Linked DNA regions of Kluyveromyces lactis. The protein of the gene in region 1 binds, or shares a complex with, the protein of each later gene. Links are inferred from orthologs where the notes say so. Each region holds a gene or a part of one and is shown in the gene's direction. Other genes may lie near its edges. The genes, in order: MRPL50, MRPL3, MRPL23, MRP35, MRPL17, MRP49 and MRP7.

What was found.
Region 2: MRPL50 (region 1) and MRPL3 share a complex: the UniProt entries of both Saccharomyces cerevisiae proteins name them as parts of the mitochondrial large ribosomal subunit. The link is inferred for Kluyveromyces lactis from reciprocal best matches to the Saccharomyces cerevisiae genes MRPL50 and MRPL3.
Region 3: MRPL50 (region 1) and MRPL23 share a complex: the UniProt entries of both Saccharomyces cerevisiae proteins name them as parts of the mitochondrial large ribosomal subunit. The link is inferred for Kluyveromyces lactis from reciprocal best matches to the Saccharomyces cerevisiae genes MRPL50 and MRPL23.
Region 4: MRPL50 (region 1) and MRP35 share a complex: the UniProt entries of both Saccharomyces cerevisiae proteins name them as parts of the mitochondrial large ribosomal subunit. The link is inferred for Kluyveromyces lactis from reciprocal best matches to the Saccharomyces cerevisiae genes MRPL50 and MRP35.
Region 5: MRPL50 (region 1) and MRPL17 share a complex: the UniProt entries of both Saccharomyces cerevisiae proteins name them as parts of the mitochondrial large ribosomal subunit. The link is inferred for Kluyveromyces lactis from reciprocal best matches to the Saccharomyces cerevisiae genes MRPL50 and MRPL17.
Region 6: MRPL50 (region 1) and MRP49 share a complex: the UniProt entries of both Saccharomyces cerevisiae proteins name them as parts of the mitochondrial large ribosomal subunit. The link is inferred for Kluyveromyces lactis from reciprocal best matches to the Saccharomyces cerevisiae genes MRPL50 and MRP49.
Region 7: MRPL50 (region 1) and MRP7 share a complex: the UniProt entries of both Saccharomyces cerevisiae proteins name them as parts of the mitochondrial large ribosomal subunit. The link is inferred for Kluyveromyces lactis from reciprocal best matches to the Saccharomyces cerevisiae genes MRPL50 and MRP7.

Annotation. Positions count from the first base shown.
Region 1 is NC_006039.1:791,246-794,954, forward strand, and holds MRPL50 (mitochondrial 54S ribosomal protein bL9m MRPL50), read left to right. Parts: upstream 1-1,833; coding exon 1,834-2,238; downstream 2,239-3,709. Other genes in the region: RSC6 (Rsc6p), read right to left, coding at 1-1,284; KLLA0_C09086g (uncharacterized protein), read right to left, coding at 2,624-3,709. UniProt on the Saccharomyces cerevisiae protein: Component of the mitochondrial ribosome (mitoribosome), a dedicated translation machinery responsible for the synthesis of mitochondrial genome-encoded proteins, including at least some of the essential transmembrane subunits of the mitochondrial respiratory chain.
Region 2 is NC_006041.1:685,980-690,395, reverse strand, and holds MRPL3 (mitochondrial 54S ribosomal protein mL44), read left to right. Parts: upstream 1-2,006; coding exon 2,007-2,954; downstream 2,955-4,416. Other genes in the region: KLLA0_E07679g (uncharacterized protein), read left to right, coding at 1-195; MSS1 (Mss1p), read right to left, coding at 157-1,662; KLLA0_E07613g (uncharacterized protein), read left to right, coding at 3,178-3,786; PEX12 (ubiquitin-protein ligase peroxin 12), read right to left, coding at 3,837-4,416. UniProt on the Saccharomyces cerevisiae protein: Component of the mitochondrial ribosome (mitoribosome), a dedicated translation machinery responsible for the synthesis of mitochondrial genome-encoded proteins, including at least some of the essential transmembrane subunits of the mitochondrial respiratory chain.
Region 3 is NC_006040.1:209,814-213,753, forward strand, and holds MRPL23 (mitochondrial 54S ribosomal protein uL13m), read left to right. Parts: upstream 1-2,077; coding exon 2,078-2,545; downstream 2,546-3,940. Other genes in the region: KLLA0_D02464g (uncharacterized protein), read right to left, coding at 1-575; protein disulfide isomerase MPD1, read left to right, coding at 816-1,802; CRN1 (coronin), read right to left, coding at 2,890-3,940. UniProt on the Saccharomyces cerevisiae protein: Component of the mitochondrial ribosome (mitoribosome), a dedicated translation machinery responsible for the synthesis of mitochondrial genome-encoded proteins, including at least some of the essential transmembrane subunits of the mitochondrial respiratory chain.
Region 4 is NC_006042.1:2,240,853-2,244,579, forward strand, and holds MRP35 (mitochondrial 54S ribosomal protein bL35m), read left to right. Parts: upstream 1-2,086; coding exon 2,087-2,374; downstream 2,375-3,727. Other genes in the region: protein channel TOM70, read left to right, coding at 1-1,416; NMA111 (Nma111p), read right to left, coding at 2,597-3,727. UniProt on the Saccharomyces cerevisiae protein: Component of the mitochondrial ribosome (mitoribosome), a dedicated translation machinery responsible for the synthesis of mitochondrial genome-encoded proteins, including at least some of the essential transmembrane subunits of the mitochondrial respiratory chain.
Region 5 is NC_006039.1:256,469-260,515, reverse strand, and holds MRPL17 (mitochondrial 54S ribosomal protein mL46), read left to right. Parts: upstream 1-2,231; coding exon 2,232-3,023; downstream 3,024-4,047. Other genes in the region: Nrd1 complex RNA-binding subunit, read left to right, coding at 43-1,914; TEX1 (Tex1p), read right to left, coding at 3,231-4,047. UniProt on the Saccharomyces cerevisiae protein: Component of the mitochondrial ribosome (mitoribosome), a dedicated translation machinery responsible for the synthesis of mitochondrial genome-encoded proteins, including at least some of the essential transmembrane subunits of the mitochondrial respiratory chain.
Region 6 is NC_006038.1:622,636-626,405, reverse strand, and holds MRP49 (mitochondrial 54S ribosomal protein mL61), read left to right. Parts: upstream 1-2,469; coding exon 2,470-2,862; downstream 2,863-3,770. Other genes in the region: KLLA0_B07205g (cAMP-dependent protein kinase), read left to right, coding at 433-1,800; RKM3 (protein-lysine N-methyltransferase), read left to right, coding at 3,354-3,770. UniProt on the Saccharomyces cerevisiae protein: Component of the mitochondrial ribosome (mitoribosome), a dedicated translation machinery responsible for the synthesis of mitochondrial genome-encoded proteins, including at least some of the essential transmembrane subunits of the mitochondrial respiratory chain.
Region 7 is NC_006042.1:1,138,986-1,143,426, reverse strand, and holds MRP7 (mitochondrial 54S ribosomal protein bL27m), read left to right. Parts: upstream 1-1,821; coding exon 1,822-2,916; downstream 2,917-4,441. Other genes in the region: SGF29 (Sgf29p), read right to left, coding at 452-1,192; ILV6 (acetolactate synthase regulatory subunit), read right to left, coding at 3,186-4,070. UniProt on the Saccharomyces cerevisiae protein: Component of the mitochondrial ribosome (mitoribosome), a dedicated translation machinery responsible for the synthesis of mitochondrial genome-encoded proteins, including at least some of the essential transmembrane subunits of the mitochondrial respiratory chain.

The DNA of each region.
Region 1 (3,709 bases):
GCCAGCATCCCCTGATAACACTTTGAGAGCCTGCGATGACGATTCCATGTAATCTTGTAGCATTGGAACTGGATCCTTAGCTAGTTTATCAAAAAATTGGTATTTCTTTGCGCTTGAATTTAGTTGTAGTTGTAATAGTTGTGTTTTCTGATTTAGTTCTTGTATTTGTGGTTCGATTGCAGTTGATAGCGTATTGTATTCATTCAATAGCAATAATTCATCCTTTGACAACTTTTGGTCGCCTTTAACTGACGTTGATTTAGGTACTTCCATGTCAAATACCAAATCTCCGAAAGTGGAAGACTGATCTACACGAATAGTATAGTCAAGTCTTATTGGAGGTATCGGTTTTACATGATCTTTCACTAGACTTGGCAAATCGGCGAGCTTCAAAGAAACAATGCCTGCGGCAAGCCTTTCTGGAGACACTAGCTTTGCTAATGAAGCATCCATTTTCACTAAGACTTTCTCACCGTTTGTGGAATCCTTTGGTCCCGCCTCGTCGTTATTCGTCAATAGACTGTTTAATAGAATATATTTGTAAAGAGAGTATATCGCCTCATGAAAGGTTCCTTTTGAGAATCCGACAATACATGATAGTTCTGGTGAATACTGTAAGAACTCCCCTGTATACCCTTTTGGTTGGATAGTGATGGTACAGTTAACGTTTTCAGTACCCTTACGTGAAACATCAACACCGTCAAACTCTACAGGAGTATTAGGATCCACATGCCATTCAAAAACGGTTTGCTCATTTTTTGGCTTTTTAGCACTAGGTTCCTGTGTCCCTTCTAATAAGGGGTCTCCCATTTCTTGATCAGTTTCATCATCTTGATCTTCCTCTACAGGTTTGAAATCTATCGCGACGCTTTCTATAAAGGAGGAAAATTTAGGCCTATTTGGATCGTCTGCCTTCCCATTATCTAACAGTCTACCTTCAATACGCAATGTCCATGATGCTTGATCAAGTTCCATGGTCTCATCGTTCGTCTGCCATGGCTGGTTCTCAGAAATATTAGAAATGAAAACACGAACAAACTGATTATTCGCAGGATCTGTGTATTTGGAATGAGTCCATTGAGTAATATTCTGATGCAAATCAATTTTTTTACGACTTAAATATATGTCAATTCTCTTCTCAGCCTCTTGTAACTTACTTAGCCCATCCAATTCTGGTATTAATTTCTTCAAATACGGTTGGATATACATGTCAGTTGGTTGTGCAACTGGCACAGTTTGTGCCTGTTGATGTTCAACCGTTGCTCCACTCTGTGCCGCAGACATTTGATTTTGATTTTTCTTTAATCTCAATCTAGCGGTAGCTTAGTTTATTCTACTAGGAGGTAAGCAGATGATATGTCTCATCTATACAAGTTGATGCATGTAAGTTAATGTACCAAAAGCTAGTGAATGCTTTGTTTAGGTTGATTGAATAATTCGAAAAACTGATGTTGAAACAACGAAAGCACCCATACACCCATACACCCATACAATACTTTATAGCGAATCGTATTAGGTTAGATTGTATCCATTACGCAGTTCATTTATAAATAAGTATTTCAAAGGTTACAAACACGGAGTAGTACAGTATGAACGGCTGTCACTCGCTAAACCAATCTTTTATCTTCTTTTTATGTACACATCTTTTAACTAGGCTGGCACTTAGATATGATTTTAAAGCTTCAAAAATTTTTGATAGTTTAAAATCACATTAGAACAAGATCAATCTAAAAGTTAACCATAAGCAGGGAATTAAAAATAGCGTCAATTGTGTTTGAAGTGCTATTCCAATAACTGCACACGCTCCAAGGGCTTTTAAAATATTACAGCAAAATGTTCAGACCGACATCATCGTGTCTTTCTGCCTTAACCAAACGTACAAAGAGAGTACAGGTACAGTTATTAAAAGATTTTCCTCAGTTCCAATTTCATACCGGCGAGGTGGTAAATGTCAAGCCCTCACTAATGAGAAACTTCTTGCACAACTATAATGGAGCCCGCTACATTCTAAAGGAAACTGATATTGACCAAGCCCTGTTGACCTCAGCTAAGAGATCACGTGCATCAGCAGCAGCTTTATTAAAAACAACCGAATCAACGGTGAAGAAGACTGAACAGAACGTAAAGAAGGCTAAGCAGGTATCCAAGGAAGAAAATAAGACACCAGAAACTCCTAAGTCAGCATTAAACGAAGAAATAACTATCGAGAATGTGAAGATTCCAGGATTAGACTTATGATAGTAAATGTTTTATCTTTTTTTTCCTCCTTACGCGGATCATTTGAGATACCAATGTCTTACAAAATAATAATGATCATGGATGTTGTTCGTGACGTCTCGTCCCCATTGCGGTTCAGAGGCACATTCATACACTTGTACATAAATTACATTAAAATAACTTGCGAAAACAATAAAGAAAGTTCGTTGCATCCAATCGCTACCAGTTGAAGTAATAACGTGGACAGTAGATCTGGATGATTCATACTAAATGGGGATTGACAAGAGAGTTATTACTACAGGAACGCTCATCACCTGGACGAGCATATTTCTCTTGATCAGCTTTAACTGTTGCTTTGGAAATAAAGAGACGAGAATGAGAAACAACCCCAATAGTGATGAACTTTCTAAATTCTCATTTTCTGTTTGTTTCTCAGACGTCTTTCTCTCTTTTCTCTTTTCTTCAACTCCATTTTATCAAGTTCTTGGTCGGTCAACTTGTCTCTCATATCCTTTCTCTTTTGTCTCTCAGCTTCTTGTTTTTTTTCAAGAGCCATTTCTCTTTCAACCTGTTGCATGACTTTAACAATCTTGCCTAACTCTTCTTTACGCAATTGAATACCCTTCTTCAAAATATCAGTGGTGATGAAAGAATTGGATGAGTTAGTTTGAATATCCTTAGTAACATTGTCATAAATTTCGACAACTTTGGTTATCAATTCCTCCAACAATTCGATATCTTTGTCAGAAGTTACCAAGGATAAGTAGATGACACAACGTGGCAATTGAGAAGACTCCCATAATTTGTCAGTAATCGGTTTCTCTTCTGGTAAATCAGTGAAAGAAATAAACTTCAAGAACTTGGCAGATTTAGATAGCAACACCTTGAAATCTTCACCGGCATAGTGAGGAATAAATCCGTTCAACTTATTTGATTCGGACATGAAAACATAGTCTGCTGGTAAAGATTCATTTTCAGCGGTATGGGTCAATGATAAAAAGTAGTTTGAGTCACGAGCTTTAGTCATCACTGCTTTGTTAACGATAGATGTGATGAATTTCAATTTGGACAAAGTTTCCGCTGAGTTGGCAGTTAGCTTAGCATCTTCAGTAGAGACGAATTGGCCATTTGGAGTAATGGTAACTGAGATGAATTCTTCAATGTCGTTGGCAACTAATGTTGGTAAAAACAAAGCTAATGCCTTTTGAGTTAACAATGCCAATGGGTTGTGACGAGCCGTCAAGTGTGCCTTAACAATTACGCTTTCAATAGTAGAACGACCAGTGGCAAAAGATGTGAACCAGGTGTTATTTTGCTCCTCAATATATGGCATCTTCTTGCCATCGGCACTAAAACCAACCTTTGTAAAAGATAACTTTGTTAACAAGAATGTGTTCAAAGTACCAAATATCTTATCGGCATATTTATTGTTCAGAGTCTTACCATAATAAGAAATGAAAAATAAGATAGCCATGAGACCAATGCAAGCCAA
Region 2 (4,416 bases), on another chromosome or scaffold:
GGTAAACTAGAATATTTACAGAGTAAAATCAAGAAAGATGACGGCATTAGTGATTGGGTCGATGAGAAACAACGGCTTTCTGGCAGATTGAATAAACTAGAAAAGCAAGTGCAAGAATTGGAAGAATTGGCAGATGAATGGGAAAACTATTTACAATTACTTGCCGATACAAAACTTCGAAAAGACAACGTCTAAAACCTCTTCCAAGTCAACGTTATCACCAGTTATCTTCCCAATTCCATCGGAAGCTATTCTAAGTGATTCGCAAGCTATTAATATATCGTCATTCTTGTGCTGGAAGAACTGATCTAGGCCGAATAGAATATCAGTGCTTAAAATTTCTTTGACTCTATTGGACACGGTGACTGGATCTTCATTCTCAGTTGCCGAGATTCTTCTGAAACTTAATGTCAAGGTCTTAACTAATGGTTCCAATCCAATTTTGGTTAAGCAAGAGACTGTATGAATTTTCAGGGCTTTAAATTCTGCATCGAACTTTTCAATTAAGTATTTTAACTGGGTTTCAGTAGCTAAATCCGATTTATTCAACACGACAATTAAAGGTTTATCAGATAAGTTATCCTTGATAAATTCTTCAAAATGTTTACTTATATTTGGGTTAGATACATCAATGACCAATACCACTAAGTCACTTTGTAAACTTTTCTTTTTGGATCTGTCAATACCTTTGATCTCAATAGAATCTGAAGTTCCCTGTCTGATCCCTGCCGTGTCAGTCAAGATACATTTAAAACCGTTAATGTCCATCATTACATCGATAGAGTCTCTTGTGGTGCCCGGTATATCACTGACAATCGCAACGTCGTCTTGAGATATTTCGTTAACTAATGATGACTTCCCGGAATTTGGTTCACCCAACAATGTTAACTTTATCCCATCGTTCAAGACAGCCATTCTATCTAATTTCACCATGAATCGAGTCACTTTTTTGTATAGTTGTAAAAGTTTATCATTGGCACCATTCACTATAGAATCGATATCTTCCGTTTCGATATCTTCACCAAAATCAATAATTGCAGTTAGTTTAGCGATCTGCTCTATAATCTCTTGTCGCCATTCATGGAAAATGTCTACGGTCTGATTGCCATGCAATGCAGACAATCGCTGTAATTCTGTATCTGAATGAATCATATTGTTGATACTTTCAAGCTTCAACAAATCCATTTTCCCATTCTGGAAAGCTCGTCGACTGAATTCTCCCGGCATCGCCATACGAATATCTCTTTCAGAGTCCCGCAAACCCTGGATTGAGTTTAACGCTGCCTTTATAATAGCTTTCCCCCCATGTAGATGCAATTCCACTAAATCTTCACCTGTAAAGGTCCGTGGTTGTGGGAAGTACAAGACTAACGCTTCATCTATCAGAGTTGATGCCTTGGGATCATATAATGACCGAATCATCGGTTTCCTCTGCCGTAGCGGTTTTTTTGGCGACAATTTTTTTAAGATATACTTTGAATGTGTACCCGATATCCTAATTATAGCTATTGCAGAGTGCTGATTTGATGGCGTTGATAATGCATACACTGTAGGATGGAAAAATGTCGCTGGAACACTATAAAACCGTCGCAACATTGGGCTGAACATCACTTTTTGCGAAAAATTGAACCAAATGAGAGTGGGATCCTTGTAGACTACCATTACGATTCCAACTGCAATTTATGGTAGTTTAGAATAGTCTGTAAATATGTTTAGCTACCGATTCATCGACAATCCATAGCATAAGTGCGCCGTATCAGAAAGAATCTGGAATAATGAGATGTCTGTGAAAACATATTATTATCACGTGACTACTCGGAAAACATCAACAGTCTACTATATCCGGGTAATTGCAGATCTCAGTATCGAAATATTGAAAAAAAATTTTAGTGAAAGAGTTACAGAGAGAGGATGGAAAGAAGTTGAGTGATGCAGTGAGCTATTGGTGAGGTTTGCCATTGATATATACAGCAATCAACATCACCATCGAGGGGGGTTAAAGAAGGATGTCTGTTTTGAAGCTATTGAACCCTGTGCGAGTGCGAGGATTTGCTTCTTGTGCCAGGTTGTACCAATCAGAACTGTCATCATTGAAAGAATATAAGAATACCATCAGTACACTGTTAAAGAACCCTGCACATGAACTAACAAGCCCCAATTTAGTTGCACTCCATTCCAGATTAAGATTGCCTCAAGGCTTATCCTATTCTCTTTTGTCCAGATGTTTGACGTGTCGTTCTAGTGGGGAAGTGAACTATGACAATGTCAGTTTGAACATTTTTGGTAAGAGTCTTTTAACTTTGGCAGTTACATCCGAGCTAATGAAAAAATATCCTAGGCTACCGGGTGTGGTTTTGAATGCTGCTGTGGATGCATATATTAACGACCATGTTTTGAGCAATGTCGGTCGTTCCTGGGGTATAGAACCGGAAACTCAAAGTGTAGTGGATAGATATGCAAAGAAAGAAAATGTTACCATTACATTGGGTAAACTACGTTATTTCCAAAATTCCGTAGATGAATTGCATAACTTCACTGAGAACAATGCTATGGCAGTTGCCGTAAGGAGTATATTCGCCGCTGTATACAGTGTCGACAAAGATTTCAACCAGACACATAAGTTTATCGCAGATCATATTTTGTCCAGAAAGCTGGACGTTAAAGATTTGTTCGCGTTCGAACAACCAACCAGAGAACTGGCAGCTTTGTGCCGTCGCCAAGGATTGGAAAGACCGGTATCGAAACTACTTGCAGAAAACGGTAGATTGTCTAAATCACCCTTGTTCATCGTTGGCGTTTTCAGTGGTGAAGAGAAATTAGGCGAGGGTTACGGTTCATCTTTGAAAGAAGCTAAAGCCAGAGCCGCTACAGACGCTTTGTTGAAATGGTACTGTTACGAACCAGTGCATGGCCAACAGAATGTCGTTATTGACCAAGGCGAAGTGTTAGTATAGACAGGCCGCATCAGCAATGTATGTTTTCCACATAATCCTTTTCAGTTGAGATCAACTTTTAAAGATTTCTTTCCCTGTAAATATAATATACAAATACATAATAGTAATTCATACACTGTTGTACTCGAACGAAATAAAAAAGGAGGTTGTACGAAACTTAGTTGTGTCTTGAGGCCTTGCCTTATTTATAGCTAGATCCTGTTCTGCATTATTTGATCAAGATATGGATTTGAAGGAGGAAGTTCTGCTGCAAGTTAATTCGACGATCATTGAAAGTAAAGGAGGTCCGTTACTATTTATCCTTGTATTGGAAAATGAAATAGCATCACAGTGTTTTCTGTGTGATGGAGTTGGAAACGTTGATACGAAGCTCAGCCTTTTCAGCTGGAAATCCTCTGATCCAATTGGAATCCTAATGGTTGACCCGGACATTTACGATTACGATGACATGTTACAGTCGTTGAATTCGAAACAATACATTATTAAATCCAAGTTCCATTACTTCCCTGAAACTAGCAATTTGATACAATGGCATGAGAGTGTACGATATCCTTATAAGCTAATCAACTGTGGAGTAGAAATTCAGGATGATCATTCCGATTTAAAACTATTAAAACGTGATTTAAAAGATCATTTGGATAGGATGATTCAATATCTTGAAGATAATGATAGACCAAGCGATGAAATCTTGAAAGAAATTTGGTTATTAAAGCTAAGATACAGTAGAACATCGGCTCCAGACTTAGATTCAGAAATCTCTAGGCTGGAATCTGATATAATGATGATGCAAACGATGTTCAATCAAATGGAAACCAATGCAGAATTATTCTAATGCTACTGGCTCAATTATTCTCATTATTCATTTACTAAATTAATGCAAAACTATATTAATAACTTACGGATGCGTTTATCTATGGGCACACCAGTCGCGAAACATGTATTTTCTGTGCTTACCCATTTCTTGGCACACTCTAAATTAGCGACATATCCAGATGAAATCATGGCAGGTTCTGTTATTTCTTCGCCGCATAGGGGACATACGTCAGTCGTATCATTGTTATCCACCTCTGATGCTACGCCAGGTAGTACTGGAGGTTTTGGTCTCTTTACTCGTATCTCTTTCTTGAATAATTCAGGCCGCTGATTGATAATTTGTAAAATTCTGATCATCACTAGGAAGCTCGGGAATAACTTGTCCAAGAACATGGTCGATGTGCTCTCCACTGCATCCTTGGTCATAGCTAATATTCTGGGTAAATTAGTTCTTTTACGACGACGTTCAGAAAGAGTTAAAGTATTTTTCCTACTTGCAATTCCTTCTTCGGGTTCTTGGTATCGTTGGTATCTTATTTGTGTTATGAAATGGATCATATCAGTGTCTTTTGAATGACGCAAGTACTTTAATTTGAAACAGAAATTTATCACTTTGATAGTCTTCTGTAGCTTAGGATAATAGGCATCA
Region 3 (3,940 bases), on another chromosome or scaffold:
TTCATAACTTCCTCTAGATAATTCCAACATCCCGCTTTCTCGATCAAATTCTCAAACGTCTCTCGTTGGTCCCAACCTTGTTCTGGGATTACCTCTGGCAAAAAAGTAGCACTCATCCGAGAATTGGTCTTGGGATGCCTGAATTTAATCTCAATACCATGTTTCCCAATCTCCCAATTCCAAATATCACCACTATTGCCTGTGCCCTCACTGCTATAAATAGTCTTGAACTGACTGAGTAAATTGCATCCACATCTTAGCTGGCTCAATTCTTCCCGCTCGATTGGTGTAAATCTCGAATCCTGCAATGCAGATATCAAAGCGTACCTTTTCAAACCCTCTTCAATCTTACCTTCGGAAAACGTACCAATACACCCTCTAAGTTGGTATTCACCTTTCTTCAACTTCTTCCATGTGACAAATAGGGGACTCCGTGCAAACTCAGGTTTTAAACCTTTCCCCTGATACAAAAAATCGTTCACGGTTTCTAGTGTTATCTTAGGCACGCGATAAAATTGGCTGTATAACTGGTAGAAAGCATAAAATGCGTATGGAGAACTAGTTTCTAATGACATTCTCTAATCACTTGGCTCTGCTATTGTGTGTTTCCTTATTCCTTTGATGATGATGATGGGATCGTGTCCCCTTATTTCTTAGTTCTTATGTATCGATGTTCCTTTTAACGATTTCAAAATCAAATCTTTGGGTCCACTGCTGCCAAGAAATTCAACATCACTCGAAATTGACAAAAAGAGAAGAGAGTAAACCACCTTGTTAACTTCCATCGTTGAACATTTTCTAAAGTCCTCCAGACTATGATGTACACACGTCTTCTATATGCATTGTTTTTGTTGGTCGAACTGGCGTTCGGAGCCAATTTCTACGACCGTGATGAGAATATCATGGAATTGACACCTTCTAACTTCGATAAAGTCATTCATAGGACCAATTACACCACTTTGGTCATGTTTTATGCTCCGTGGTGTGGTTACTGTCAGGAATTGAAAGGTTCCATGAAATCTGCCGGTAAAATCCTCTCTGGAATGGTACAAGTTGCTGGAGTGAACTGTGATGAAAGTGTGAATAAACAATTATGTGCACAGAACAGAGTATCGGGGTTCCCAACGTTAATGGTATTCAGGCCTCCAAAGATCAATTTGGATAACCCAAAGAAAAATTCCAATGGTGCTGCGTCACAGCATGCCACAGAAGTGTACAAGGGAGAAAGGAAATTGAAGCCCATTGTCGATTTCGCTTTATCTAGAGTGAAAAACTACGTGAAGCGGTTGAACCGTTACAGTAAGTTCGAAGAACTATTAAAATCTTCAAGAACCAGGTACGCTGTAGTGCTTATCTCAAAGAAGGAGAAGATTCCAACTTTATATAAATCTGTAGCCCTCGATTGGCTTGGGATCTACGATTTCTATTCGATCTGGGACGAGAAATTGCAAGGCGTGTCACAATTGAGTTTTGAGAACGATACAAAGAATTGGCCAAATACTGTTAAATACCTCCAATCGTTAGAAAAAAGTGAAACTGAATTACAATCGCCCAGAATCGTAGTGATAGATAGAGAAACAGATACTTATGACGAACTAGACATATTAAAAACTACAGATAAAAATGACATTGCAACGTTCCTTTCGAAATTCGAGTCAAAACCAAGGGAAGGTCCACTCAGTAAGAGACAAGAATACCTCAAATCTATTTTGAATAAATCAAAGTCAAAGAAGTCCAAGACTAAAAAGAACAAACAGAAGACTAAACTTACGAAGGACGACATAGTTCAGGATGAGTTGTAGGTATTTGTTAGTAGCTTGTATATAGATTGTGTTTAACATCCGGGTAACAGTAATATGAGCGATTGAAAAAAATTTGGCTCCAAGCTGAAATTAAACATCAATTAATCAAATCGATTGTCAAGCTAAACATATGATGAGTTAAAAGACAACTGACTGTCCCGAACTATCCCTTTACCTAAGTGATTACAGTTGAATAGCATCACTTAAAATTTAACTTTTTAGGTGCCACGTTTTAACCTGTCAGAAAGGAGGCAAAATAACAATATATTAGAAGTATGTCTCAAAAGGTAGGACATACTGGTTTGGCATTTGCCAGGATGTGGCATCATGTTGATATATCCAAGGACAAGAGAACGCTTGGTAGGGTGGCATCTCAGGTTGCTCTAGCGTTAATGGGGAAGCACAAGCCAGTGTATCATCCATCTGCTGATTGCGGTGATTATGTTGTGGTAACGAACTGCCAAGCTTTGCGTGTGACGGGGAACAAGATGACCCAAAAGACGTACTGGTCGCATACTTCTAGACCAGGTTCATTAAAGTTGACTACAATGGAAGACATGATCAGTAACAAGGGTTACAGTGAAGTTTTGAAGAAGGCTGTGTCCGGAATGCTTCCCAAGAATAAACTTCGTAAGATCAGACTTGCTAGATTAAAAATTTTCGATGGAAGTGAACATCCATACAAGAGTAATATCACCGCATTTGCTGATCAGCAACTAGAGCTGCAACACCAGAAGAAATAGTGTGGATGAATTTTTATGTGACTTCTTAATTTTTGAGAAGTTAACGGCAGCATGTGATGTAAAATCCCTGTATATATTATTATTCGATCTAAATGGTTCTCCTTAGTACGCATACAATGTCTGTCGTTTTTCACTGTACTAAACTCTTCCACTTTACTATGTACATATAGATTGTTATTTAGATATGTTAATTATCACATACAAATCACATACAAATCACATACAGAGATAGAAAAGATATTACATCGCAGTATGCCAAAGCATAATACTTTTGCCTGGAAGAAAGAACATTTAACAGAACAAAAACGAGAAGAATTAGGGAAGGATGTATTTCATATTTGATATTATTTCCCTTGCTCCAAAAGACGATCTACTTTTGCTTCCAAAGCAGCAAGAATTTCATCTTTGCGGGTATTTTCCTCGGTTAATTTATCAATATAGCTTTCCAACTTTAGAACTAATCCAGATAATGTTTCTACAGATTGTCTCAAATTGAGAGACTTGTTCGTAGATGCTCCAGCTGCTGCTGCTGCTCCAGCTGCTGCTGCTGCTCCAGCTGCGCCACCTGTATTCGGATTGGAAGATGGCTTTTCTTCGCTGTCTTCCTGAGAAGGGTTCACACGGATGTTTGTTTCCACGCTAGCCTGTGATGAAGCTTCGACCTTTGCCTCTGGAGTACTTTCGACTTTAGAAGAAGCTGAGGCCTTCGAGGTAATTTCTGTAGACGAATTTTCTTCCTTTTGCTGTGGAACCTCTTCAGCAGCCTTGTCAGGTTCAGAATCGGTGTTAGCTTCCACCTTCACAACAACTTCTGGTTGTTGTGATGCTTTCACGATCTTTTCATCCTCAGAGTCCCATACTGAACTTTCTTCGCTTGGGTTTTCAGCCTCATTATCAGCATCTAAGTCAGAAGCCTTTTGCAGCAACTTGTTTACAGAAGCATCCTTACTCAATAGTTCGTCTACTTGGTTCTTGCCAGTGTCTTTTGCTGGTGGCATTTCTTTCCTAGCTGGACTACCAGAACTAGATGATGAAGCAGGACTTGGTGATGTTTTCTTACTTTTATTACTAGGCGTTAGTTGAATTATCACTTCATGCTTTACTTCTGTGGATGGGGATTGAGATGGAGATTGAGATGGAGATTTTGGCTGTTCTTTAGACTCTGAAGTTAATTCTTTGACTGGTTTCTTGGAATCTGTGAATTCAGGTTCGCTTCCATCATATAAAGTTTGGAGTTTGAACAAAATTGGGCCATCAACAGATTTACCCTCAACCCATTCAGCTGCAGATAATGCTGGTTTACTAGAAGGAGCATCAGGATAAATGTCATCTTGGAAAACCTCGGACTTTCTAGGCACATAGAAAGAAATCGGTTCAACGGCGTGTTCACCTACA
Region 4 (3,727 bases), on another chromosome or scaffold:
AAAGAGGATCCAGTGTTTTACTCCAACAGATCTGCTGCATACGTCTCAATTAACAATTTCGAAAAAGTTGTTGAAGATACCACTGCCGCTTTGAAATTGAAGCCTGATTACTCCAAATGTTGGTTGAGAAGAGCTAGTGCTTATGAAAACTTGGGCCAATTCTCCGATGCTATGTTTGACTTGTCGGCTGTCTCTTTGTTGGGTGAATACAGCGGTCAATCCGTGGAGCAACTGCTGGAAAGAAACATGAACAAACAAGCCACAAAGGTCTTGGGTGAAAAATTGAAGGAGAACCAGGGTAAAGAATCTCCATTACCATCTAACACCTCTTTGGCATCATTCTTCGGTATCTTCAACCCTGAAACTTCTTTCGATGATTACGATGGCGAAAATGAAGCAGATGTTGAGTTGAAAAAAGGTTTGGAAAACTTGTACAAATGTCAAACCGGATGTTACGAATTGGCTGATGAAGAATTCACCAAGGCTGCCGAGTTATACAAGAAAGAATTAGAATCTTCTCCAGATAATGAATCTTTGAAGAAGAAGGCTGCCATCGCCTTCGAACATGTGGGTATTTTCAAGTTCTTCAAAAATGATCCAATTACCGCGCATATTAACCTGGAAGAATCGTTGTCTTTGAACCCAAGACCTTCTACTTACATCTACATGGCTTTGATTATGGCTGACAAGGGTGAAGCCAACCAATACAAGGAATACTTTGACAAAGCTTTAGAATTAGATCCAAACTGCTCTGCTGTTTACTATCATCGCGGTCAAATGCATTTTGTTGTTGAAAACTTCAAAGAAGCTGGTGCCGATTTCGATAAGGCTAAGGAATTAAATCCAGAAAACATTTTTGCCTACATCCAATGTGCTTGCTTGGCTTTCCGTGACGATAGATTTGATGATTGTGAAACTTTGTTCAGCGAAGCCAGAAGAAAGTTCCCAACTGCTCCAGAAGTTCCAAACTTTTATGCCGAAATTTTGGCTGCTAAGAACTCTCTAGATGCTGCCATCAAGCAATACGATATTGCCATCAAGTTGGAAGATGCTTTACCAGGTATTCACGTCGGTATTGCTCCAATGATTGGTAAGGCCACTGCTTTGATTAGAAACCCAACCGTTGAAAACTTCGTTGAAGCTTCCGAATTATTTGAAGAAGCTTGTAAGATCGATCCAAGATCCGAACAAGCCAAGATCGGTCTTGCTCAACTAAAATTGCAACAAGAAGAAATTGATGATGCCATTCAATTGTTCGAAGATGCTGCCGATCTCTCAAGATCTTTCGATGAAAAACTACAAGCTACTACTTTCGCTGAGGCTACCAAGGTCCAGAAAAAGATCAGAGCTGATCCATTCATTAAGGGTAAGATCGACGAAGCTATTGCAGCCTACCGTGCTCAAGGTCTCGCGTAAATTAGCATGATATTCACGAATGAATTTAATTCATTTCAATATGAGTAAAGCTACAATAGCTCATTGTTTTTGTCTCACCTTAATGACCATAATGGCAACATACCATGCAACATCTAAACGAATGAATTACCAAGAAAGTTATGATTTTACAAACAAAAAGTTGTAGCATTTCACCCAAGTTATTTATGACTCGTAAGCAGCGTGAACTGTGTTAATCGTAAACGACAAGATCTCAACATTACAACGTGAAGAATAAGAAATAGTTATCAATTCTTCACAAAAACAAGACAAAAAGAAACACAGAAGAACAAGAATACGAGAACAACGCTTTTCAATAACAGCTCATTGCAAAATATGTGCTCCTAAATACCCCTGGTTCAAAAACATCATCTTCTACCATTTTGCTAGAAACAAATACGTCTTTCTGTATATACATGTATCTCCCCCATCTCACAATTTAATCAAATTGTAATTTTAAACACTTCGATAGTATATCACTACATACGTTTCAACATAAATGACATTTTTTGTTTTCTCTGAAAGAAGTGTATGTAATAAAAGTTTCTTGTGAGATTATGGCAAGGTACTGAGTGAAAGTGAGCTACAATTCAAGTACTTCATTGTTAACGGACTATAGCAGGATTTACCCCACCAGCGAACTACTTCAAATATGCTATCTTCTATCTTTGGTTCGATGATGAACTTTTCCGCTAGAACTGGACTTCTGGGATCTAAAACTAATGTTTCATCGCTCATCCTCACCAGAAACTTGATGAAAACACACAAAGGTGCCGCAAAAAGATGGAGAAAAACAGCCAATAGCTTCAAGAGGGGCAAGGCTGGAAGAAATCATGGTAATGCTGGATGGAGTAGGAACTCCCTTAAATCATTATCTGGCAGGTCATTAGCAGACTCCACACATATGCATCGTTTAAAGAGATTGCTTCCATACCATTAAGAGATGAAAGGCAATTAAAATAAGATATCGTTTCGATTTCAATCCTGTACATATAACAATGGCATCCCCATAATGAATGACACACCATTTCTTACCATGATTTTCAGTAAAGCATGTCATGAAAAATCAGCGGGTTACTATAATGGATAATTATCATTAATAAATACCTATATACAATTTGCAAACAACGGTAAAAAATGATTAATCATATATATAGTCAAATTAAGTCTCCGAGATATCATTCTCGATCCAACTACCTGTTTTTGGATTCTTTCTTAATTCTACCGTTGGGAAGTAGTGATAGTTTGTCTTTAAGGAAATGGCAAACGGAACATCGTCAAATGTCATTAAGCGTAACTTGCAGTATGTATTATCTGGGATTTCTTTAACAACCTTCAAGAATGTATCCAAATCAGGTGTTGATTGGTCATTGACGTGTGTGATAAAGTTGGTCACTTCTATTCCGTACTGTAACGCCAAAGAAGATGTACCACGAGAAACCGCATATACTTCACTAGGAATAGACGTTTTTACTTGACGCACGGCATGATGAGGAGCTTGTAGTACGCAACCTGCGAATACGACAATTCTAGTGGTTTCTTCAATTTGTACAGTTTTTATTTTCAAATCGATAACCTTCGCATCTCTTACAACCTTGAATAACAACTCAGATTCGATATCCGTATCGTCATCAGTCCCCACGACACCACCAATATCCCTCATTCTTTTTACCAGTTTCCCATTAACTGATAAGATAATATCACCAGGCTCGAGCCTTTCCTTTATTGTTGTATAGGAGTTTCTGGTGACACTGATGAATTGTAATCTGTTTTCTGATTCTTCTTCCATCATCTTAATCCATTCTTCAGGAACACCTCTGATTCTAGCCTGCAATAATGAGATGGAATCAAATCCTGCGTCCACAATAGAAACCTTAGGATTCTTACCAGCCCTGAGAATATCTACAACTTCTTTGATATCCACTACGTCTAAACCCATTAAATACAGTTTTTCCTTGTTACCCATGCAGGATAACCAGATTGCTCTCACTGTACCATCATCTGCCGCTAATATTCCTGATTTACATTTGGTGCTTATATTCGAATCAATGGAGATGACTTCTAGATTGGTTGCTCTATACCTAGGAATGATGTCGTTAGGAACACTCAGAGAAGAGATGCCATTGACTTTAGTCTTGGAACTGATTAAAGTGTTTGAGTACATGTAACCAATGAAATTAGTTTCGTCTCCTCTTTCAAGCCTTTCATTAGCTAGCACTGGTGTGCATACTGGGGCGTCAACTAAAGATGGATCATATTGAACAATAGCGTAATTTTGGGTAGGATGTAAGAA
Region 5 (4,047 bases), about 530 kb from region 1:
ATTATTGAAACTGCACGTACACAAAAGCACACACATATCACAATGATGCAAAGCGATGAGCATGAGGATTTTGTAGCTACTTTAGAATCCTTCAAAGAGTTGAAATCTGGGATTTCTGGTTCTCGTATCAGAAAATTAACAGACTATGCTGTCAATCACGGAAGGAACATCGAAGCATTGTTGTCGTTTGTGATACAGTACTCCAAAGAGTGTCCTCCGACTCACAAATTGGGCTCCTTGTATATCGTTGATTCTATTGTTAGAGCATTAATGAGTAAGTCAGAAACTGTAAAACAAGAAGAAGGCGAAGAAGGGAATTATTTTTTGAAAGGTGTAGAACTATTAAACGATAATATACAACCCTTACTAATTGATGGTATTGAAAGAAGTGATCCAGCCCATCTAGAAAAAATTCAGGAGTTAATAAATATTTGGGATAAAAACAACGTTTTTAACAACAAACCTTTGAATGCAGCAAGGAGTCGTTTGAGTGAACTTGTAAATAGCAACTCGATCCCTCCATCTTCGTCATCTAATTCGTCTTTAACCCCACGCCCAGCTCCCAGTAATGATAATAAGTCCTCCTCAGGTAGTAAAATTGATCAAGTCTTGAACGCTATACCGAAATTCGAAAACCTTCCTGGCATACAAGTCCCGTCTGGTTTATTTTCAGAGGACATATCGGTACAGGACTCTTGTTTGAAAGAACTTCTAGGAAAGTTGCAAGTTGAACTGACAAAGAACCAAAAATTGGTTCAAGTAAACAAACAGGCTCCTCGCTCGATAGATAATTCTACCTCTTCTACCTCTTCATCGTCAAGGTCTACTCGCTCAACGCAGTACGTTGGAAGAGACTCCAGAAATGACAGATCTAGATCACCCCCAAGAAACAAAAATGACAGATCTCGAGCACAGGCAACAACTTCTCTGCATTTATCTAGGCAACAGCAGCAACAACAACAACAACAACAACAACAACAGCAGCAGTCAATTAATGGTCAACAAGGAAATAACCATCATTTGTACCCAGATGAGCAGAATGTTCCCTCAAACCCTCATTTTAGGCCAAAACCGGTATCCTTTGATCCAACTGTGCCAAGGGACCACGTAAAAGTATATTCCAGAACCCTTTTCGTTGGTGGTGTCCCACAAAATTTCAAAGAACATGATATTGCAAGAATGTTAAGACAATTCGGTGAGGTTCAGAGTGTTATTTTGAATAATGCCCGTAAGCACGCCTTTGTGAAAGTCTATTCAAGAGCAGAAGCGGAGAGGATCATGGCGCATTTCACTGGTGGTGGCAATCCGACACATGGTTTGAGAATCCGTTGGGCCGTTGGTTTCGGTCCTAGAGACTGTTGTGACTATCAATATGGATATTCAATCATCCCATTGGCCAGGCTAACCGAAATTGACTTCAAATGGTCACAGTCCGCGGAATGGGGTGGTACTGGTGGTCAACCAATCCAAACAAACATGGTTTATGAGGAGCCCGATATTATTGTTGGTGAAGGTGTTTCATCAAAAGCGATTTCGCAAAAGATGCCAACTGATAAAGGTGTTTTGGGTCCCAAGTCTGGTAAAGTTGGTCAAGCTACTGCTGTCTCTCAAACACCTATCCCCTACAGTAATATATCTCCTCCTCCTCCTCCGGTTCAAACATCACAAATACCGAACGTTCCTCAAATCCAACAACAGTATTATAACCAGCCATTGTATCAGCAGCCTCCATCAATGGTATATGGTCAAAATCAACTGCTGGGATCGGCATCATCTGCGCAGCAGCAGCAGCAGCAGCAATCGCATCAGTCTACTCAACCTTCGGGCCAAAAATCTCCTCAACCCCCACAAAATTTCGATCCAACTGCGCAATTAAACACATTGATGAATATTTTGAACCAAACGCCAAAATAATGCTTATATAAATGCACTTAAATAATTTTCTGTATCTGATAGCCTTTATGCATATGCAATTCACTCACTACTTTGTTCTATTAGTGACACCACTTGGAAAGTTATCAAATCCGTATATCGTGATCGATTATTTCATATTGAAAAATTTTGGAATAGTAGGCATGAGAGGATGTTCAAACAATTTGAAAAATTATTGGAACATCAGCATCATGTTGAAATAGTGCCGCTTATCAGAATTGGGAAGCATATTCACCAGCTGTCAATCATCGTGTATATTCAGTCAGCAACCCTCTTCATCGACACAATTATAAATAAAAATGTCTGTGAAAGCAGCAGCAAGCTCGATTCCCAAGGCAGTAAAGGCAGGTTTGGTACTTTCTCGTGTTCCAATCGTCACTCCAGAATTGAATGCACTAGAGAACAAGTACTACCAATACCAGGCAGAACTGGAAAGAAGACTAATGTGGACATTTCCATCTTATTTCTATTTCAAAAAAGGTACTTTGGCAGAGCGTCGTTTCCAGTCTGTACAGAAAGGTGTGATTAGCAAGCAGCCTGGTGTATGGTTCCCTAAAGGAGTGCCAGACGTCAGACATAACAGAGAAAGAAGTCAAAAGCAAGATATTATGCTACCAAGAGAGGCTTCAGAAGGTTCAAACAAGTCTGATGTCTCAAGGCCAATTGTTCCTAATTCCAGAACTACAAAGGCAGACGAAAATAACGATATTACTAGTTTAGACAGAAAATTGGACAGAACTCTGCATTTGCTTGTGAAGGATGACAAGGGAAGCTGGGTTCTTCCAAGTTTCCCGGTTGATATTGAAGCTAAGGAAGGAAAGAAAGCTTTACATGAGACCGCTGAAGTGGGATTAAGAAAAATCGGCGGAGAAGATATTAATACATGGACTGTGTCGAATACTCCAGCAGGTGTTCTACAATCTGAAAAAGATCTCCAGTTTTTGATCAAATCGCATATCATAGCAGGTGAATTCAAGTTAAAGGATGAAAAGTCAATCAAAGAATTTGCATGGTTGACAAAAGATGAAATCAAGAAAGCTGTTGACGAGAGATATTTCAATAGTATACAATATGTTCTTGCTGAGAATTAACATATTATCATCAAACACAGAAAGTATTGGCATGATTTAATCACTATATATATATGTAAACCCTCCTGTAAATACTGCTTCGGATAGAAATTCCAACCCGTATCGAACACTAAAAGATAACAATCATATACATATTGCTGAACTCTGATTGATTTTAAGATTGGAACATTATATACTTGTAAGAATGCTAATTAACTTTTAAATCTATCACCATCTATCATTTGGCTTTCTAAAAGAAGACCCTGTGTTGGAGCGACCAAACGACTTCTCACTGAATTTATCAGCATCTCTCTTGTATGGTTGTTTGCGCAGCTCTTTATCCCTCTTCCCGCGCTGTGGTGTGTCTCTTTGAGTTCTACTGCTCCGATCGGTGCTTTTCTTAACAAAATCATTTCGTTTACGATCATCGGTCGATACCATAGTTTTCGGTCTGCCTGAACGTAAATCAACCATTGTCATTTTATCAAGAGCACCAGTGGTGTAAAATATTAAGCACGACTTTGACCACTTGATTGTGGAACGTGATGAATTTTTAACCACCGTGTTGTATAGGATAGACAAATCATTGTACCAATAGAGACTTAAAAATGAATCGTGAGAGTCTAATGCTTTGCTCAAAATAGATATTATTGACCCATCAAAAGAAATGTCAATTCCAGTTATTCTATTATCTGTCTTGATTGATTTTTTCAAGGGCACAAGATCAGGTAACGAATAGATAGAACATTCGTTATGAGTTCCGACTAACAATGCTCTGCCTAATGGATCCATTATTAGTGACGTGATGGTTTTCATATCATTCCGCCTTTCACAGAGAAACTTTAATCCATCATCTTGGAGTGAAAATAGTTTTATGAATCCTGATTTATATGCAACGATAATTTGTTTGGAATCATTAGACCAGCAAAGGGAATGTATGGCATCATCCGATTTCTCATCAGGGGAAAAAGAGATACAAGATTCGTAACCAGATTCTGCATTGTAAATGTAGATTTCATTCGTCTTCGTCGCTACAACTAGGTAC
Region 6 (3,770 bases), on another chromosome or scaffold:
TTTAGGCAATTTTATTCTTTTCCATCCTTTGCTATACTGTGAATTTTTTATTTGCTACTTTTCATTGTGACGTTTCCTTTTCCTCAAGGCACTGGCTTACTATTAACAATATATTCATAGTATCATCTACTGGACACACCCTGGGGTCGATACGGTTACTGAATTTCCTGATTTTCTTACCTACTTGTTTCTGTTTTGGGGTATTTCGAATAAGGGACAAGATACACTTTTCTTCATCATTAGTTTTTTTTTCAACATTCAGATCAGACCTTGGTTTGAAGGAAATCGGATAAAGGCTGGGCCTTATTTAGAACTCTTTCTAGTGAGAGTATAAGAGATATATCACTGTTTTGACTCTGTGCCAACTTTCTCTTTTTTTCCAATCTGAACCGCTATATCTTGCATGAGGCAAGACCTGCAAAGAGAAGAAAGATGAGACCTTTTGACAACGAATCCAAGGGATTTCTTTCTGGCCGAACAGATCAAATTGAATTACCTGTGGTACAGGCTGTTTCAACAAGTTCAAATTCTCAAGAACCACTTCTTTCTAGCAAAGACCCACTACGAGATGGAAGCAACGTGGGGAATAGGTTGAGTGGAAACAGCGAAACTCTGATAACCAACTCTGATGCTGATCATCCTATGGAGACGGATAATAATAACTCTAATCTTAATAATACTAATTCCTCTACTAATACTAATGATAACAAAGATTCGTCATCCAATTCCAGCAATAATGAAAATGGGGACAGTAGCAACAATTCAAATAGAAGGCATAGCAACCATTGTCACAAGCATAACCATCTAAGCAGCACTTCTACCCTCAAGGCAAGAGTTACTTCTGGAAAATATGCATTATATGATTTTCAGATTCTGAGAACTTTGGGTACAGGTTCGTTTGGTAGAGTTCATTTGGTGAGATCCAATCACAACGGCAGGTTCTATGCAATGAAAGTTTTGAAAAAAAACACCGTTGTCAAATTGAAACAAGTGGAGCATACCAACGATGAAAGAAATATGCTAAGTATAGTATCCCATCCTTTCATAATTAGAATGTGGGGAACTTTCCAGGACTCACAGCAATTGTTTATGATCATGGATTACATCGAAGGTGGTGAACTATTCTCTCTTTTAAGGAAGTCTCAAAGGTTCCCAAACCCGGTCGCGAAGTTTTATGCAGCAGAAGTTTGTCTTGCGTTGGAATACCTACATTCTAAAGGCATCATTTACAGAGATTTGAAACCAGAAAATATCCTTTTAGATAAGAACGGACATATCAAGTTAACTGATTTCGGGTTCGCTAAATATGTTCCTGATGTCACTTACACTCTCTGTGGAACACCGGACTATATCGCACCTGAAGTGGTAAGCACAAAACCTTACAACAAATCTGTGGATTGGTGGAGTTTTGGTGTTTTAATCTACGAAATGTTAGCAGGATATACACCTTTCTACGATTCAAACACAATTAAGACCTATGAGAATATTCTAAATGCTCCAGTAAGATTCCCACCATTTTTCCATTCTGATGCTCAAGATCTAATATCGAAACTCATCACAAGAGACTTAAGTCAACGGCTAGGTAATTTACAAAATGGAAGTGAGGACGTAAAGAATCATCCGTGGTTCAGCGAGGTTGTGTGGGAAAAACTACTCTGCAAAAACATTGAAACTCCATATGAACCTCCTATTCAGGCCGGACAAGGCGATACCTCTCAATACGATAGGTATCCAGAGGAAGAGGTTAATTATGGCATTCAAGGCGAAGATCCGTACCATAGTATTTTCACCAACTTTTAGCAGGCATACTTGCTCATGAAATTCAGATATCAACATGCCTCTTATCTTGCATCTACACAATATGTAAACTTTAACACGCCTTTCCCCCCGTTAGTCCCTTTTCTTTTTTTTTTTGTTTTGATATATCGGCTCATTGCCTTCAGAAACGCTGCCGTTATTTGATACATTCCTTTGAATGACCATCGTACAATACTAGATGGATTGATGTACGCACTTCCAATTCAAAATTCGTTTCATTCGTTTTGCTGTACTCTCCAATGGATGCTCGATGCAATAATCTTATTTTTGGAGTATTTATCTATCTATAATCAATGGCATTTACATATTTTGAATGCATGTATAAGACTTCATCACAAGTCCTTCCCTCACGATCCATGCTACATAAATTGTAAACTGGGGTAAGTCATGGCACATTCATTTATGTTTTGGACGTAACTTGCTTCTGTCGAATGATTTCACGTGACCAATGAATTTTTTTCCAAACTATTGAAAATTCAAAAAGTTCAGTGGACATGTCCAGTTGAAATGAGAATGATTTTACGAAATAGATGATTGAAGTGATATTGCTGAAAGTGAAGGGTCCTGGTTGCTCTACTTTATCGTCAAGGTTTATTTTACCGATTGGATACTTATACTCATTGTCACTCTAGAGAAGATCATTAATAAATAATGTCAGGAATCGTTAAACAACAAAAATTTTTGAACAAGATCAGTGCGACTACCGTGAAACCTCAAATTATATTAGATGTATCGAAGTACAGTGCATTGAATGTGAAGTTCCAGTATCAGAATTTCAATGGCCATATGGGTGCCCGTAAGTTCTGGCACGAGTTTTTGCCTTCTCTGCAGTTTTACAACCCTGCGTTGCCAATCAATGTGACCAGAATTAGAAACGATGATAAAAAAGTCGATGTACCATGCATACTAGAAGCTATTGGATCCGATGGGAAGGTTGTAGCTGAAGTTTCAATGAAGCACAAACACTCATCTGAAATTATGGATGAAGTGCTACAGAAATTGGAACACAAAAGAGTACCCCAGGAAGAAATAATAAAGGTATGAGCTCCGACCTTTGACAAAGAAAAACAAACAAACTGGAATACCTAAATATACTACTTTCAAAGTTAGGTCCTGTACATATGTATATAATAAGATACTTTTCATCCGATTTGATGTCTTATTCAAATGACATATCCTTTTGAGATGAGTTGACTCTCTGCCCAAGGATCGTCAAGACATTCAAGAACACGCGAGAAGAAGATTTAAAACGCCAGTATATGGTTACCAGGTGGTTATTTAACTTGAATTTCAGAACGCCTCTTACATCTAATTGTCATTAAGACATCTTACATTAACAGCGACTTCTTCATCTGCGGAAATGGTTTTCTGCGTATTGTTCAGTTGAAATTTTTCAATCTCGAAAATGATAAATCGCTTCAGATCTCATCATCTCATCTCATCTCATCGGTTGACCACAGAAATTATCAACACCCCAAAGAGGCATATAGTAGGGGCATTATTCACAGGTGAAGACTCTCAACCCAACAACACGAATGTCTAATACAGACTCCAGTGATACAGATGATATTCTAACATTTGTACTGGAATCCAAGGGGTTTTTCCACACTGCCGGCTGTGAGATTAGAAGATCTGATTATGGTGGTTTAGGAGTGTTTGCATTAAAGGATTTGAAGGAGGACACTGTACTCCTTAGGATTCCGAAATCTTCTGTTTTCACTGCAGAAAATAGTAGCATTGCCAATCTACTGGTTGATAGCGAGGTAAAAGGCATGTTGGCATTAAACATTGCATATATTTATGAAGTATTCATATTTCAAGTTGAAAGCCATTGGTACAAATATTTGAAGAGCATTTCACACAGACAAAATGGGAGTCTATATCTTCCACCGGCATACTGGGAAGATAATGAGAAAATTTTGCTGAAGAATACTGCATTGGATGTTGTATTC
Region 7 (4,441 bases), on another chromosome or scaffold:
GTCTCTCTGAATCAATATAATCAATCAACCTCCATACCCATTGTTCTACTATCGAATACTTCTGCCACCAAAAGATACATACATCTTTGTTCGCTGGGCAGGTGGTTAATATCCGGAATAATAAAGGCAAAATTGGAGCCTTCATCAGTTTTAGAACCAGATTCACTAACAATAGCACAAAACACAGTTTTGTTATTGATTTAAGTGTCACTTTGTTAAAAAGGTACACCATGAATCATATACAAAATATTCGACAATAAGAAACTAGAACTATGGTATTTAATGTCTGTCGCGTCTGATGCGATAAATCACAAACAGGCACCGCTACTAGTTCCTACATTATCTCAATGTGATACGGTTTATTTAATGTTCTTTCATAATTTTTTTTTCTTTATTGTTACAGGCTATGGAAAATTACATACATTTCGTGAACGTGATATAATTAAGAAACTCATCGTCTAGAGGGGAAAGGAAGAACTAATCTTCTTTCCACCTCAGTCTCCTTGTCTATTTCCTCTTCACCGTCGAATCGTAGCTTACATGTCCCATCTCTTTTGCTTCCGCAAACAATAGCTGGATAGAAAGTCGTTGTTTCTGGATATCTTGCCAAAACTTTTGTATTCGCTGGATAATTCGGAGTCTGGGTTCTTTTCATAGTCACGGGCGGGATCAAGAGGATCTCTTTCGAGTTACATTTGAATATACCACCTGGTTTCCCAAATTCATCGGGTTCTGGATCTTTCACTTCAAACCGGAGTCCGTCCCCAGAAACTTTTGTGCATATGCACTGGATCCATTCGCCAGTCTTTTTAGATTTATATGCAACTTCGGAACCAACCTCAATTGGTTCACTTGGGTTGAATTGACTGGTCCAATGTGATCTACCAACAACACTCGATTCAGGGATATGCGTCGAACTGGATTCCTCCTTTAATATAGGTTCCTCTTCCACTGGATAATTATCTAATATGTATGAAATGTTCTCTACCAAATCTCTGCAGTAATTTCTCATCTTTTCATTTACAGACTGACGAGCCTCTAATTTCTCATGGATATCAGCCAATTGATTCAAATTCATATTCTGGAAATTCATATTCTTCGGATCTAAAGACTCAAACCCCGCAATATCTCCTATTTTATATAGATCTTGTAATTGAGTCACGGCAAGACCCCATCTATCTTCCGTTGCCATTTTCGCTAGAATCACTGATATATTTTGTTTTATTTTTTTTTTATCTATGGGCTGTCGGTTCTTAGTATTCCTATTTCAATTAGATAATATGGGCTTCACCAGCACGATAATTAATTTGGGAAACTTCTATAAATGGACGTCCTGTTTATTCAAACGTAAATCTGAAAGGTGAAGACTTCTTTTCGATGCAAGCAGTGTCGGTTTCTTGATGTTTTGTACTTAGAGAAATATGAGTTTTTCGTGCTGGAAGAGAACATCAAAACGTATATAGTGATGGTAGATCTTTAATTGGAACCTCAGTTTCGAATAACTTTGACGTGAATTAGACGTTTACTCCTTCTCAAGCATGAAAAATTCACTATGGTATCGAAAGAACTCTCAGCAATAGATGAAATTGGTAAAATGTATAAATCAATACTTTCAACTCTTAAACAGTCAGTTACACGAACCTTCGAAGGGCTATATCTTGTTGGATTTCGTTGTTACCCTACCTTACAATCCGCCATACTGTGGAAAATTTTTGTCACTAAAATCCTATCTTAAATACATTAAGTACAGATACACGCAGAAATACAGTTACTGTGACATTGCTTGATACTGTTCGGACCAGGCCTACGAAACAACGCATAATGTTCTCATCTTCGTGGCAACAAGTTCCCAAGTTTGTGGTGCAGCAGGTGCGTACTGCAACCAAGCGTGCAGCAGGTTCTCGTACCAGTATGAAGGACTCTGCTGGTCGTAGATTGGGTCCAAAAAAATACGAGGGTCAAGCCACTCAAGTTGGTGAGATCATCATGAGACAACGTGGTACCAAGTTTTATCCTGGTGAAAATGTAGGCATCGGTAAAGATCATACGCTTTTCGCTTTGGAGCCGGGTTATGTGAGATACTATTTGGATCCATTTCATCCAGGTAAGAAATTCATTGGTGTATCATTATACAAGGATGTAAAGCTTCCTTTGCCGCATTTCGAACCACGTTTGAGAAGATTCGGCAAGGCCATCATTGAGGATGAAGAGAAAGCCATTGCAGAAGAGAACGCTTTACCAAGAAAGATTTATTTGCTGAAGGATGAATTGATCAAGAAACAGCAAGAACGTGAGATTAAACGTGAAGAGTTGAAGGCAGAATACAGCAAGATAATTTCAGATCTGAAAGTTGAGCTGGATCAACAAGAACTTGCGTTTGCATTACCATATTTGCTCAGATGGAGAACTTGTTTGAAGAATGGGTTCAATGAATCCGATGCCCGATTTAATTCGTACTACTATTTGGAACAAGAACTTAAATTGAAGATGAGAAACCAAGAAAAATCTAAGTTGGACGACAAACTAACATTGTTGAAACAGGTCTCGACCAAATTGAATGAATCATTGTCATTTAACAACAAGCTTGAATTAACTAAATACATTTCTCCAGAAGAAAAGAATACTCTAAAGACACAACTAATTACTGATTTGAAGGCAATTGATATTAAGGACAAGAACAGTAAGAAGCAAGTACTAGCCAAGTTTACTGATGCAAAGAACTTCTTGACGTTATCTGAAGAGGTGAGACTACGCAGAAAATTCTTGAAGCCAGTGAAACCAGAAACAGAATTGAAGAAATTGGAAGAACCACTCAAACCTTCCAAGAAAAATCTAACCACCAGACGTTACAACTACGAACAAAACACGATAGATGTCATTACAAGACCAAAGACCGATTTCTTGAGCAAATTGTAAATCTTCCCCAAGTCGTTACGTAACAAACCATTTAGAGCCTTGTACATATTAACAAAAGAACCACAACAATCATCATAGTTTAAACTGAAAAAAACGAAAGTTTTTTAGAGACTATATATCATTTGGAAAGGTTAATTCCATATTATATCGTTAACGTATTTAATTTGTCTATATGTGTGAGACAAAATCCAAAACATACTCTTACATTACTATTTTTTTGATATTGGATTGTTTTGAGGTACAAAACTATGGCAGGTGAGCCCTTTGGATCAACCAGGAGGCAATTGAGAGATATCAACGATGTCATTCATCTTGCTTTGAGCATCATCTTCATCACCGACAGATAAATGGGTTCTTGGTAGAGCCATCATACCTGATCTTGCCACTTCCAAGATACCGAAAGGTTCCACAAGTTTCAAGAATGCAGAGATACGGGATGGTTTAGCACATAATTCCACAATACAACTTTGTTCAGCGATATCAACAATCTTACCACCAAAGTTACCAGTCAAGTTAGAGATGTCGTTTAAATGTTCATGCTTCAATCTCAATACTTGGGACAGTGGAAGGTTGGAAGGATGGAATTGCTGTTGTCTTATTCTTTCAACGGTATCAGTATTTTCATCTTGTTCATGGTGATGAATCAAATCCTCGAAGTATTCAGCACCCAACAAAGAGATTCTTGTCATCAACAATTCTCTTTCTATGATGGTGGAATGAGAGTAATCCAACACGACAAATACTGGTACCAAATCTTCGATTTGTCTTCTGGCTTGTTCGATGACACCGTCTTGACCTTGCAACACAATGGTCATACGGGATAAATCTTTCACTTCAGTGTTACAGACCACAAGGGAATCGATATTGAAGCCTCTTGCAGCTAGAGTACCTGAGACTAACGATAGAACACCTGGCTCGTTTTGAACCAAACAGTTCAAAACATGTTGTTTCTTTGGCTCCTTTGAGATTACTGGATTTTCATATAGGATCGATGAGATGGCACTGTTAGTAGACCAAGATGGAGTTTCGATCGTTGGTAAAGGAGGTCTTGCCTTATTTCTATGCAGTTGCTTATAAGCAAGAGCCGAAGTCGAAGAAGACTTTGCTCTGGCAAAGCTTCTCAATGCTAGAGGAACCACTCTAGTTTTTAGCATTGCTTAAAGAAGGTTTTCGACTGAGTTCGTTAACCTTTCAGTGGAACAGAGACGAAGTGTAACCAAGAAAGAATATACACAGTGGAAACAGATATAAAAACCCACTTATAACTTATATATATGGGGAAAGTAGAACAAAAGCAGATGAGAGAAGTGCTTCATAGAAGGATGGAACGGTGGATCAAAGGTTTGAATGGTGTAGCTGAGTCATATTGAGAGTGAAAAAAAAAAATTCTTTTTCCAATTCAGGTCATCGCGAACGAGCGAAACAGGGCCGAAACGGTATAAACTGGATTGATAAACTGGACACCTTTGTCCAGATGCTTACTCGTGATGTGGACCAACGGAGGTTAATTGATATTCTCTTAATT